3 linked regions of the Ovis aries genome follow. The protein of the gene in region 3 interacts with the protein of the main gene of each other region in a pairwise test. Links are inferred from orthologs where the notes say so. Each region holds a gene or a part of one and is shown on either strand. Other genes may lie near its edges.

Evidence for each region. The genes of interacting proteins can lie anywhere in the genome.
Region 1: the proteins of AGTRAP (region 3) and TBRG4 interact in binary tests that used the Homo sapiens proteins (3 or more experiments, as listed by UniProt). The two-hybrid records come from large-scale screens. The link is inferred for Ovis aries from reciprocal best matches to the Homo sapiens genes AGTRAP and TBRG4.
Region 2: the proteins of AGTRAP (region 3) and AP3M1 interact in binary tests that used the Homo sapiens proteins (3 or more experiments, as listed by UniProt). The two-hybrid records come from large-scale screens. The link is inferred for Ovis aries from reciprocal best matches to the Homo sapiens genes AGTRAP and AP3M1.

What each region holds. Positions count from the first base shown.
Region 1 is NC_056057.1:78,192,449-78,195,948, forward strand, and holds part of TBRG4 (FAST kinase domain-containing protein 4), read left to right. Parts: intron 1-2,132; coding exon 2,133-2,456; intron 2,457-2,675; exon of another isoform or gene 2,676-2,811; intron 2,812-2,978; coding exon 2,979-3,150; intron 3,151-3,198; exon of another isoform or gene 3,199-3,333; intron 3,334-3,430; coding exon 3,431-3,500. UniProt on the Homo sapiens protein: Plays a role in processing of mitochondrial RNA precursors and in stabilization of a subset of mature mitochondrial RNA species, such as MT-CO1, MT-CO2, MT-CYB, MT-CO3, MT-ND3, MT-ND5 and MT-ATP8/6. May play a role in cell cycle progression.
Region 2 is NC_056078.1:29,219,160-29,222,659, reverse strand, and holds part of AP3M1 (AP-3 complex subunit mu-1), read left to right. Parts: intron 1-2,190; 5' UTR 2,191-2,193; coding exon 2,194-2,466; intron 2,467-3,166; coding exon 3,167-3,338; intron 3,339-3,500. UniProt on the Homo sapiens protein: Part of the AP-3 complex, an adaptor-related complex which is not clathrin-associated. The complex is associated with the Golgi region as well as more peripheral structures.
Region 3 is NC_056065.1:41,204,312-41,208,260, reverse strand, and holds the start of AGTRAP (type-1 angiotensin II receptor-associated protein), read left to right. Parts: upstream 1-1,149; 5' UTR 1,150-1,224; coding exon 1,225-1,359; exon of another isoform or gene 1,360-1,380; coding exon of another isoform or gene 1,381-1,407; intron 1,408-3,949. UniProt on the Homo sapiens protein: Appears to be a negative regulator of type-1 angiotensin II receptor-mediated signaling by regulating receptor internalization as well as mechanism of receptor desensitization such as phosphorylation.

The DNA of each region.
Region 1 (3,500 bases), on a different chromosome or scaffold from region 3:
TTAGATCCCTTCTTGTTCTGAGATTGTCATTCTAGTCGTTATTTATTAAACCTTTTACGCAAAAGCTTTAGAGACAGACTAAACATTGTAGCAAAATTACAAGCCAATAATGAACCAGGATTTAGAAATATAAACTGATCATGCTTTCTTTTAAAGAATCCTACTGTCTGGGAATTCTACAGAAACAGCAGAAGTCACTGAAGGCTCATGTGATGCTGAGATCAAATGCCTACTTTTCTTTTTTCCTCCATACCTTGGCTTGTGGGGTTGTTGATCCCCCACCAGGGATTGAACCCAGGACCCTGGCAGTAAAAGGCTGGAGTCCTAACCACTGCCCTGCCAGGGAATCCCCATACTTTTCTCCTTCTGCCCAGCCCTTCACACAACTGCTTTTCTGTTTGCCCCTCACCTCGTGTGTATGATTTCAGTTCCTTCTCTTGGCAGTGCAGCCTCATTTCACAGAAGAGTCTGGAGACTTGAAGAGTGGCAGAGTTAACAGCCTTAGCATAGCAGACAACAGAGCCATTCTCATTTACCACATGCTGCCTTCCCTGAGGCTGGGGTCTGGGCCAGAGGGCTCCTCGTGTTTCTCTGAGGTCTGGAAGCACACCCTGCAGGGAATGGCTGGGTCACCTGCCGGGGTCCAGCCCCGGTGGATCCAGGGAATTCGAAGCGGGGACGGCGTCAGCGAGGAAGGAACTTATTTATTTATTAATATAAGATTAGATTAGGAAGAAATAGTGTAGTAGGAAAATTAAGTGGAGAAAGAAGGCTGAATAACTTGGCTTATGGGGAAGGCCAATAAAGTTCCAGACAAGGAGCTTGCACCATCTACATTGGGCCACAGGTGCCCACTTGAATATCAGGGGGTGCCCCGCCTTGGGCTCCCCTTCGCGTGGATCTTAAAAGCCGGGACAAGTAAGTAGACATGGTGAGCCGCCCCACTCCAGATGGGAATTCAGCCTGAAATTAGAGTAAAGAGGAGACACGGGGAAAACCAGTCCAGCGACTGGCCCCGTCCTCTGTTGTTCAGAAGGCCTTTTATACTTTTGATAAAACATGGAGATCAATGGATAACACAAAGTAATGCAGCATTAGCAGTCCAGACTCATCAAAACCAAGCTTTTCTCTCTGCATACCTAATTGTATACACAAGTCTTAGGTGATTTACATCATCTTCTGGCCAAAAAGGGGCCAATTAACATTTTACAGCCTTTTTTCTGATAAGGGTTTGTTAACTAGAAGACTTATTTGCGTTGATCTTCCCAAAGTCTGGTGCCACTCTCTGAAAGCACTAAAAAAAGTTATATTCTTACATAGCAAGGACACAAGAGGAGTGCAGTGATATATAAAAAAAGAAGTAATTAACTCAAAAGTCTAGTGTTGCTAACATCAAAACTACTATATATCTTTTTCCATATCCCGTTTACATTGATTAACATCCTCCCAGGTGCCTAAAAGATAAAGAATATGGAGGCCTGGTGGCAGTCATTGAGTCAACAGTGAAAACCCGTCACCGATATGATTTTTAGCTCTTAGACAAGGCTCTGTATCTTAAGATGCTTTAAGCTCTGTGCCTCTTGCGGTTGGGGGGCTGTAAGCAGTTCATAAGCTGTAAGAGGTCCGGGGGAACCTGTTAGGCAAGCTAGAGAGCTGTCAGAGGGGTTTAACTGAAACATCCCTTTCAAACACAGAAGGCTAACGCCCTGATTTGACTTTTTCCAGAGAATATTAGAAGAGTCAAAAAGCAGGCAGATTCTTATTTTTGGGGGGCGGGGGGGTGGGTGCTCAGGAAATTCCAGGGGGAAAACCTGAGGTCTGATTAGCCTTGCCATCAGAGCTCTGCCGCATGACCTTGTCACAGGTGGAATTCCTCACGCTGGCTCCCGGCAGTCACCCTTGTTCAGAAATGAAGCTGGAGGCGGGGTGAGCGCTGTGGGCAGAAAACAGTCCCAGATAGGCTATTAAGGAGCCTCCTGGTGTGCCCAGTAGATATGCCTACATTAAAATAACCAGTTCTCGGGAGGCAGGCTCCAGCTCAGAGCCTTGGCCTGCTCTATGACAGGATCAATAAGGTCCCAGGTGTGACTTTGCCTGTGTGTCTCTCCTGCCCCACCCCACTCCCCACCTAGATAACTGTAGTCTGGCATGGGACCCTCGTGAAGCTGCTCCGGAGCCTCTACACGCTGGGGCTCCCCGCCACCTCCAAGGACCTGCGGTCAGTGGAGCAGGAGGTCCGCTGGCGCATGCGCAGGCTCAAGTACAAGCATCTGGCCTTCCTGGCCGAGTCCAGCGCCACCTACATGCAGGAGCAGGGCTCCCGGGAGCTGCTGGCTGAGCTGCTTGTGCACCTCGAGCGGCGCTGGGCAGAAATTGAAGACGGACGCACGGTGGTGGCCATGATGATGAAAACTGGGCATCTCTCGGAGTCTCTGATGAACCGCCTGGAGGACAAGGTACTAAGGGACAAGAGCCTTGTGGCTTCTGACCATAGTCTGGGGCATGGCACTGGCAGGACTGGCATTTTAGGTAGCTGCAGGCAGCACTTTGTGCCCAGTGGTTCCTTCAAGGATCCAGGGGGTTGCAGAGCCTGAACAAAATTTTAGTTCAGCTTTGGTTAGTGCTTCCTAGAGACATCATGCCTGCTGCCCCCTGCTCTACCGCAGCCTCAGCCCCGCAGTCTAGTCAAATTCAGCCCTGTTCCCGTGGTAGCAGGGGCTGGCCCGGATGACTGCCACAGCAAACTCCGCAGCTCATGGGCCCTGGGTCCCCTGCTCTGGGACCTGGGGATAAGTTTGGCTACGGACACAGTATACCCGGTCTGGGGACTCCCTGGGGTAGGAGCAGAGGCAGGCCCTGCACAGATGGGACCTATGTTTAGTAAGCTCAGGCCTAGTTGCTGTCTCGCAGGGCCTGCACTGCATGGGACCCCTGGCCCTCGGGCCATCAAGCTGACCCCTGCCGGCTGTGGTTGACAGTGCCTGGAGCTGGTGGAGCAGTTTGGCCCTGAGGAGCTGCGGAAGGTGCTGGTGACGTTGGCAGCTCAGAACCGGAGATCGGTACCCTTGCTGCGGGCCATCTCTTACCACCTGGTCCAGAAGCCCTTCCCCCTGACTAAAAGCATCCTCCTGGACCTGGCCTATGCCTATGGTGAGCCCTGTGCACGGGGAGTGAGGCTGGGAGGGGGAGGGTTCTGGCTGCAGCTGTGTCAAATTCAGTGCCTACCTCAACCATGGCAGGCACTGGCCCAAAAGGCTGCTACAGAAACACTGTGACTCATGGGCCCTGATCCTCTGTGCTAGGCCTCAGGGATAAATTTGGTTACAGACACCAAGCTCTTAACTCCTTAAGACCAGGATGGGTGGTGGGGTGCACGTGAGGGCGCAGCCTGCCACTTCTCACCAGTTAAATCTCAGGCTCTGTCCCCAAGGCAAACTCGGCTTCCACCAGACCCAGGTGTTCCAGCGCCTGGCAGCTGATCTGCTGCCCCACACGCCAAG
Region 2 (3,500 bases), on a different chromosome or scaffold from region 3:
TGACTACTTGGCTAAGTAGAGATGCCTTTGAACAAAGAAACATTTTCTCTTTCTAATAAATAGGAAGCCTAAACTATTAACAGCACCCATATTTATTAATACAGTAATTACTAAAGCACATCTTATTAATTAGTATTATTTAAATTAATAACTATTTAACATGCACCACATGGGAAGAGGAAATCATCAGATAGTCTTTAAATGTCAACTGCTTTCATTAAGTAAATGACTTCCTCTGAAAAGAACTGGTCAGGTTGTCATCGTTTTCCCTGTTGATAGAATTGAATTCATTCTGGAAACTCTTCCTTTCCTCTTTGCAATTGGTCTTCATGCTTAGAAACTATATTAATAGATTTTACATTCTTTCTCCTTAGGTTACATTTATCATTCAGCACTGTAATTTTGAATGAATGAACCTCTAGACTAAGTTTCTGGTACTGATATTATTCATATAAAAGAAAGGAGCAAGTTAACGTAATTAGATATTTGTCCACTGTCTCCCACATTACAAGGACAATAAACTCTATTTGAAGTATAACTAACACTCAGGAAAGTATTCAAGCTGTTAACATAAAACCCAATAAATTAACACAGAATGAACACAACTTGTAACCATCATCTAGATCAAGAAATAAAACATTACCAGTACCTTAGAAGGCCAACCTTATGCCTCACTTAAGTCACCACCCCATTCTCCTTCATAATAGAAACCATTTGATTTCTCTTAACTATAGAGTAGTTTTGTCTGTTCTAGAACTTAATATAAATAGAATCATACTGCATGTATCCTTTTGTGTCTAGCTTTGTTCAGTATTGTATTTGTAAGATTTGTCCATATTTTGTTTCATGTAGCAATAATTCATCATTTTCATTGCTGTTTCATTTTAATATATTAGTTTATTTTCCCATTTACTGTTAATAACTGGTAATAGTCTCCACTACTACAGCGTATTTTTATGCATGTTTGTTGTGTACATTTGTACATATTTCTGTTAATCCATCTGGGGGTAGACTTATGTGTTGCAGAGTATTAATACTTTGTGTTAATTAAAATAAATTAAAACTTACCTTTTTTAATACTAAAAACTAAACTGCACAGTATTCTAAAAATGTGAAGTTTAGTAGTTTTTAGTATAGTCACAAAGTTGTACAACCATCATTTCTAATTCTAGAAGATTTTTATCACCTCAAAAAGAAATGTAAAACCAGTAATTCCCCATTCTTCTCCCTCTACCCGGCCCCTGGCAACGGCTAACCTACTTTCTGTCTCTATAGATCTGCCTGTTCTAGACGTTTCATACAAATGGAATCATACAATCTATGGTCTTTTGTATCTGGCCAGCATAATGTTTAAAGATCCATTCTGCTGTAGCATGTACTAGTACTTCACTCTTTTTTATGGCTAAATATTTTATTTCAGATATCTATCAGTATTATTTATCCATTATTTGGTTAATGAATCCATTCATCAATTGATATACATTTGAATTATCTCCACTCTTTGGCTGTTATAAATAATGTTGCTACAACCATTTGTGTACAAGTGTTTGTATGGACATATGTTTCCAGTTTTCTTGAGTATAAAGTAGAATTGTAGGGTCGTTTGGTAACTCTGTCTTTAACTTTTTGAAGAACTCGACACTGTTTTCGCACATAGCTGCAGCGTTTCATTTTCTTGCTTGGTTGTCATGGCTAGAGCCTCCAGTACCACGTTGAAAAGAAGTAGTGAAAATGGAGTATTGTTTGTTCTTTATATTGAGGGAAAGCTTTTGGTCTTTAAGCATTAAATGGTAGCTAAAGGATTTTCACAGATGCTCATTATCAGGCTGAGGAAGTTTCTTTCTGTTGCTAGTTTAAATGTTTTTATCACAAAGGTGGTTGGGTTTTGTCAAATGATATTCTGTACCTTTTGAAATAATAATATTTTTGTCTTTTATGAGAATTGTATATTGATTGATTTTCTTATTTTGAACCAGCCTTGCATTCTTGCATAAATCCCACTTGGTCAGGTTTATGATCTTTTTTATATGTTGCTAGATTCAGTTTGCTAGTATTTTATTGAAAATTTTTACCTCTGTCTACAGATGTTGGTCTGTTTCTTGAATTGCCTTTGTCTGGTTTTGGTGTCCAGATAATACAAAGATACTTTTGTTTGATACATACTAAATTTTAACATTTTTCCTCCCACAGAAAATGATCCACAGTCTGTTTCTCATAAACTGTTCCGGTGACATATTTCTAGAGAAGCACTGGAAGAGCGTCGTGAGCCAGTCTGTCTGCGATTATTTCTTTGAAGCTCAAGAGAAAGCTGCTGATGTTGAAAATGTACCACCTGTTATTTCAACACCTCACCACTACCTCATCAGTATCTACCGGGATAAGCTCTTCTTTGTCTCCGTCATACAGACTGAAGTACCACCTCTCTTTGTAATTGAGTTCCTACATCGAGTTGCTGACACTTTTCAGGTTGGTTATTCATCAAGTCTTTTGAAGTTGGATTATTCAAGTTAGTTGGAGGTGGGACATAAGTATATTCTTTAATTTTGATATATAGTCTGTTTCCCTGTCTCTCTGTCCCTCTTCTTTCCAACTAAGCATAAGTTCATAAAACGTAAACCTTTTTAATAGGGTATACAAGTAGTACATGTGGCTGCCCCTGTTTTAAGAGAACAGAACAATCTCCTGGTCATAGAAACTGTATTTTTTTAATGTATTATAAATTATGTCATCAGGAAATAATAGTGCCCTCCACATGCAATTCTTTGAATGGCACCAAAGTTTTTATAGGTTATGAAATCTTGCATTACTTACATTTCATTTTTTGTCTTGTCTTGCTTAATGTACCAGTAGTTTAAAACTGATCTGTGTCTTTTGGAGTACCTAATCAGGGAAAATGAAGTTTATAGTTCTTATTCTGTTTTAACATTTCAGTGTACTTTCTGGCATAATTTGTAGTAGGAATTCAGTTCAACCTAAAAATATTAAGAAAATATTGAGAAATCGTATATAGAATTATAGAGGGCTTTTTTCCCTCTGGTTTACATATTTTCAACATCTTAAACAGTGAATTATGCTACTGTAAATATGCCCTTTATAATAGAATAAAAAATATTTAGCAAACCTTTTTCATGCCTTCCATTGTGCAATACTATGTATGTTTTATTAGGACTACTTTGGTGAGTGTTCGGAGGCTGCAATTAAGGATAATGTGGTCATAGTATATGAGCTCTTGGAAGAAATGCTAGACAATGGATTTCCACTGGCTACTGAATCTAACATCTTGAAAGAATTGATTAAACCACCAACAATTCTGCGTTCTGTCGTCAACTCTATTACAGGTAAGGTAAAACAGTCTATTAGGAACTAAGCCATTAAAACTTCGTAAACAATTCATTTTTGCTTATGATCTGGCAGATTATTAAGGTAGTCCATTTTGGCCAGAATTATAGTTAGTGGTAATGTTAAAATGGATATATCAGTATATTTCTTTTCTTGAAAAG
Region 3 (3,949 bases):
AAACAGTAGCAAGTCCTGATCAAGGGCTGTCTGCCAGGCAATGTTCTAAACATTTTTACATATTAACAAATCCTTATTAACAAATTCAAAATAACCATCCTTCAAGGAAGATACTATTATTTCTCTCATTTTACGGATCAGAAAACTGAAGCACAGAGAGGCAAAGTGACTTGCTCAAGTAGAACCAGTAAGTGGACAAAGTTAGGACTCAAACTCTTTTCTCTGGTCCAGCTAGTCCTCTGGGCTCTGAATCCCAACAATCGTGCCCAGTGTAGCTATCTGTCCGGTCTCTGAAGCTTACCAGCTCTCTGTTACTCTGGCAGATGTGCTATTCTGCTCAGGGGGCTGGACAGCTGTGTCTCCAAAAGGGACATTCAAATAGGCCAGCGGACTCCGCGACCTTGCAGAAGACCCCACTGCTGCTGCTGCTAAGGCGCCTCAGTCGTGTCCGACTCTCTGCAACCCCATAGACGGCAGCCCGCCAGGCTCCCCCGTCCCTGCGATTCTCCAGGCAAGAACACTGCAGTGGGTTGCCATTTCCTTCTCCAATGCATAAAAGTGAAAAGTGAAAGTGAAGTCGCTCAGTCGTGTCAGACTCCACACCCACCTGGAAAACTCCGCTCTTTGTATCTAGAGTCTGTATCTTGATAGGATCTTAGGACCCACCCAGCCAGTCTTTCAGGTTTCCACGTGGTCTCTCCCCTCCTGGAAATAAGAATAAGCACTCAGCGGGACAGACCCAAGGGGATCCCAACAGTCTTGAATAAGTCTTCCTTACCTTTAAAGTAAGTGTCAGTATTTTTTCTTCAAACATGAATTAGTTCATTCATCCTCAGAAGGATTCTATGAGGTAGGTAACCGTCTTCACTTTCACTGGGGAAGGAGGGAGGAGAGACTGTGCCCTCAGGGATGAGACACCAGCTGTTACCACATCTGCAGATTGTACTTGGAGGTTCCCCCAAGTTCTCCTGGCTGCAGGTGGTCCCGTCAGCCCACCTGCTGGGATTTTAACTCGGCGAGATATTGCGCCCTTTGCGACACAAATCTGGATATTCTCCAGCCGCCCGCCACCCCGCCCCCGCCCCCGCCCCCGGCCCCGCCCCCGCCCCGGCCCCGGCCCGCCCCCGCCCCCGTCCCCGGCCCCGCCCCGTAACTACCTGGGCAGTGGCGCAGTGAAGGCTCAAGCAGCACGACGCCGTCTCCTAGATACCGGGCCGTCGTCACATGACCTACTCACGTGACCCCCCCCCCACAGCCCAGCTGGGGTTGGAGCTCTGGCAAAGGGCAGCCGGCGGGGCGGGGCTGGGCAAGTTTGTTTCCCGAGTTCGGAGACCAGGAGCCCCCGCGGTTGTGGCGCAGGTGCTGTCCGGTTGGGTCGCGATGGAGCTGCCAGCCGTGAACCTGAAGGTGGCGATGGGCGGGGCGGGTCTCCCGGAGCGTGTTGGGTATTTGCGCTTTTAGTAGGTGATTTTAGAGGTGAGGATTTTAGAGGTAGAGGACCGAGAATCTGGGGAAAGTGGAGTGGTGGGGAGAAAGAGAACGAACAGAGCCCAGGTGTAAGGAGGTGGGCGGACAGACCATACCAGGAAGACAGATCCAGAAGGCCAGCAGGAAAGACCGAGAGGGAGCTGGAGGAGGGAAGCAGCCGTCTCTTCCCTAAGACCGGTTCAGCTGGGAGCGCTGAGCCCCTGAGGCTCGCTTTGGCCTGCGCGCCCAGAATTTCTCTGGAGAAAGAGGAGAGCGTGGTGGGGAGGGACCCAAGGAGAGCCCGAGGCTGGACTTGGAGGCAGGACACCTGCCTTCCACCGAGAGAGGGGTAAAGCTTTCACCTGGACCCCCAACACTGCCCTTACCGCCTCTCTTGTTGGGAAGATCAAGTTAAGGAAATCAAATGATCCCAGACAGATGGTTTTTCAGAGTTGATAGATTCAACGTCTTTATTTCTTAAGCAACACAGACACCAATAGAATTTACTCAAAAGCAGAATCCCCCAACTTTGCACATTTAGGAAAACACTGTAGGTCGCTGGGGTGTCTTCATTTCCTGAGCTGTAAGAATGCCAAAGGCTGTTCTTCTTTTTCTCCCCGCCCTCCTCCAGCCCAGTGTTTCTTGGCTGGGTTTGCCACTGAGAGGCTGAAGCCTTTAGCTTTGGTCAGAAAGGTTTTAGCCTTGGACCAGACCTGCCATCTGCGGCCTAGGTACAGTTTCCTTTGAGATTGTATGCAGGAGTACCCTCTTATTCACCCTTGACAAAGCATTATGCACCCATGGTGTCTGGTCCTAAAGTAAGAGATAGATGACTACAGAACAATACATCATCCATATTTGGATTATTAGACATGGTCTGTGTTGTGACTTCACGTGGGCACATTTCCTTAATATTGAACACTTGCTTCAGCAGACCTCTCCGAGGCTTCCAGTCAACTGCTGCAGGGGGAGAGATGGCTGTGACAAGGGAATGGGCTTGGATTGAAGGTTTAGCAGGGAAGAAATTTACACGAGGGCAACTGAGGTTCATTGGTATCAACATTCACTCTGTTCCAGGCTGTGTGCAGTTAATGCCGACTACCTTTTCTCTGATTAGAGACTTGCCTAAAATAATTATTAAGGGGGAAGGAGGAAAGGGACAGAGGAGCAGGAACTGACGAGGGAGTGAGCCCTAATTCTTAGGGCGTCTGTGGTGTGCCGGGTTATTTATTTAGTCGTATCAACCTTCTGAGATTTTTGTAGCTGAGCCAACTTCAGCTCAGACCAGATAGGTAACTTGTCAAGGCCCCACAGAGATTAAGTGGCAGAGTCAGAATTTGAACCCATCACGGTCAGACTTCAAAGCTCTGTCTTTTCCTGGCCACCATTAGTTAGGGCCAACTTCTGCTTTGACAGTTAGTGCCCAGTGGGAGGGCTTAGTCTGTTTGTGGCTTTTTTTTTTTTTTTTTTTGGAGAAACTTTGTGGGCCTCACAGGCCACACGTGACCACAGATGTGAGCTTTGCCGGCTTTCACTGCCCACAGTGAAATAGCTGGTCCTTTCTTTGACTTGGGAAATAAAACACCATATCTCTAAGGGTCTTAGCTGCTACCAATCAGAGACAAGTAAGTGCTGAGAGGTCGTGAACAGCTAGGGTTGCCAGGTGACATTGAGGACATCCAGTTGAGTTTGAATTTCATATCAACAATGAATAACTTTTTAATCTAAGTATGAAAAGTGAAAGTCATTCAGTCGTGTCCAACTCTTTGTGACCCCAGGGACTGTACAGTCCATGGAATTCTCCAGGCCAGAATACTGGAGTGGGTAGCCTTTCCCTTCTGCAGGGGATCTTCCCAACCTAGGGATCGAACCTAGATCTCCCACATTGCAGGAGGATTCTTTACAGCTGAGCCACCAGGGAAGCCCCAGGATACTGGAGTGGGTTATCCTATCCCTTCTCCAGTGGACCTTATATCCCAGGCAATATTTGGAACAGTCTAGAAAATTATTCATTATCTGAAATTAAAGATTAACTAGGGGTTCTGTTTTTGTTGTTGTTTTTTCTGGCCTCCCACAGGAGTCTAAGTGGGCTATTCTGAGATCAGAACCCCTTGGGAGCTCAGAAAATGCCCAACCCCCCAACCCTGCACTACCCTTGCCCTCCTTTCACACATTCCTGGGGTATTGGCTCAGTGCCTGCTTGTGCCCAGCCCACCCACAGTAGGCAGTGGTGCCAGGTGAACAGAAGCAGCTGCCCCGGGCCCTCCAGGTAGTTCCTAACCCAATGCCACACATGAGGCAAGTCCTGAGCTGAAGGAACGTCATTGTGAGAGTTTAGAAAGTTCTAGACTTGGGTTCATGAGGGCTTGTGAGAAAAGGCCCTTGGGAGGAGGGTGCAGGGGGTTAGTATAGCATGAGGGTTAAGAATTCCGGAACCTGACTGCACAATAGTCAGGGACTGCCTTGTCTCGGGGCTTCCCAG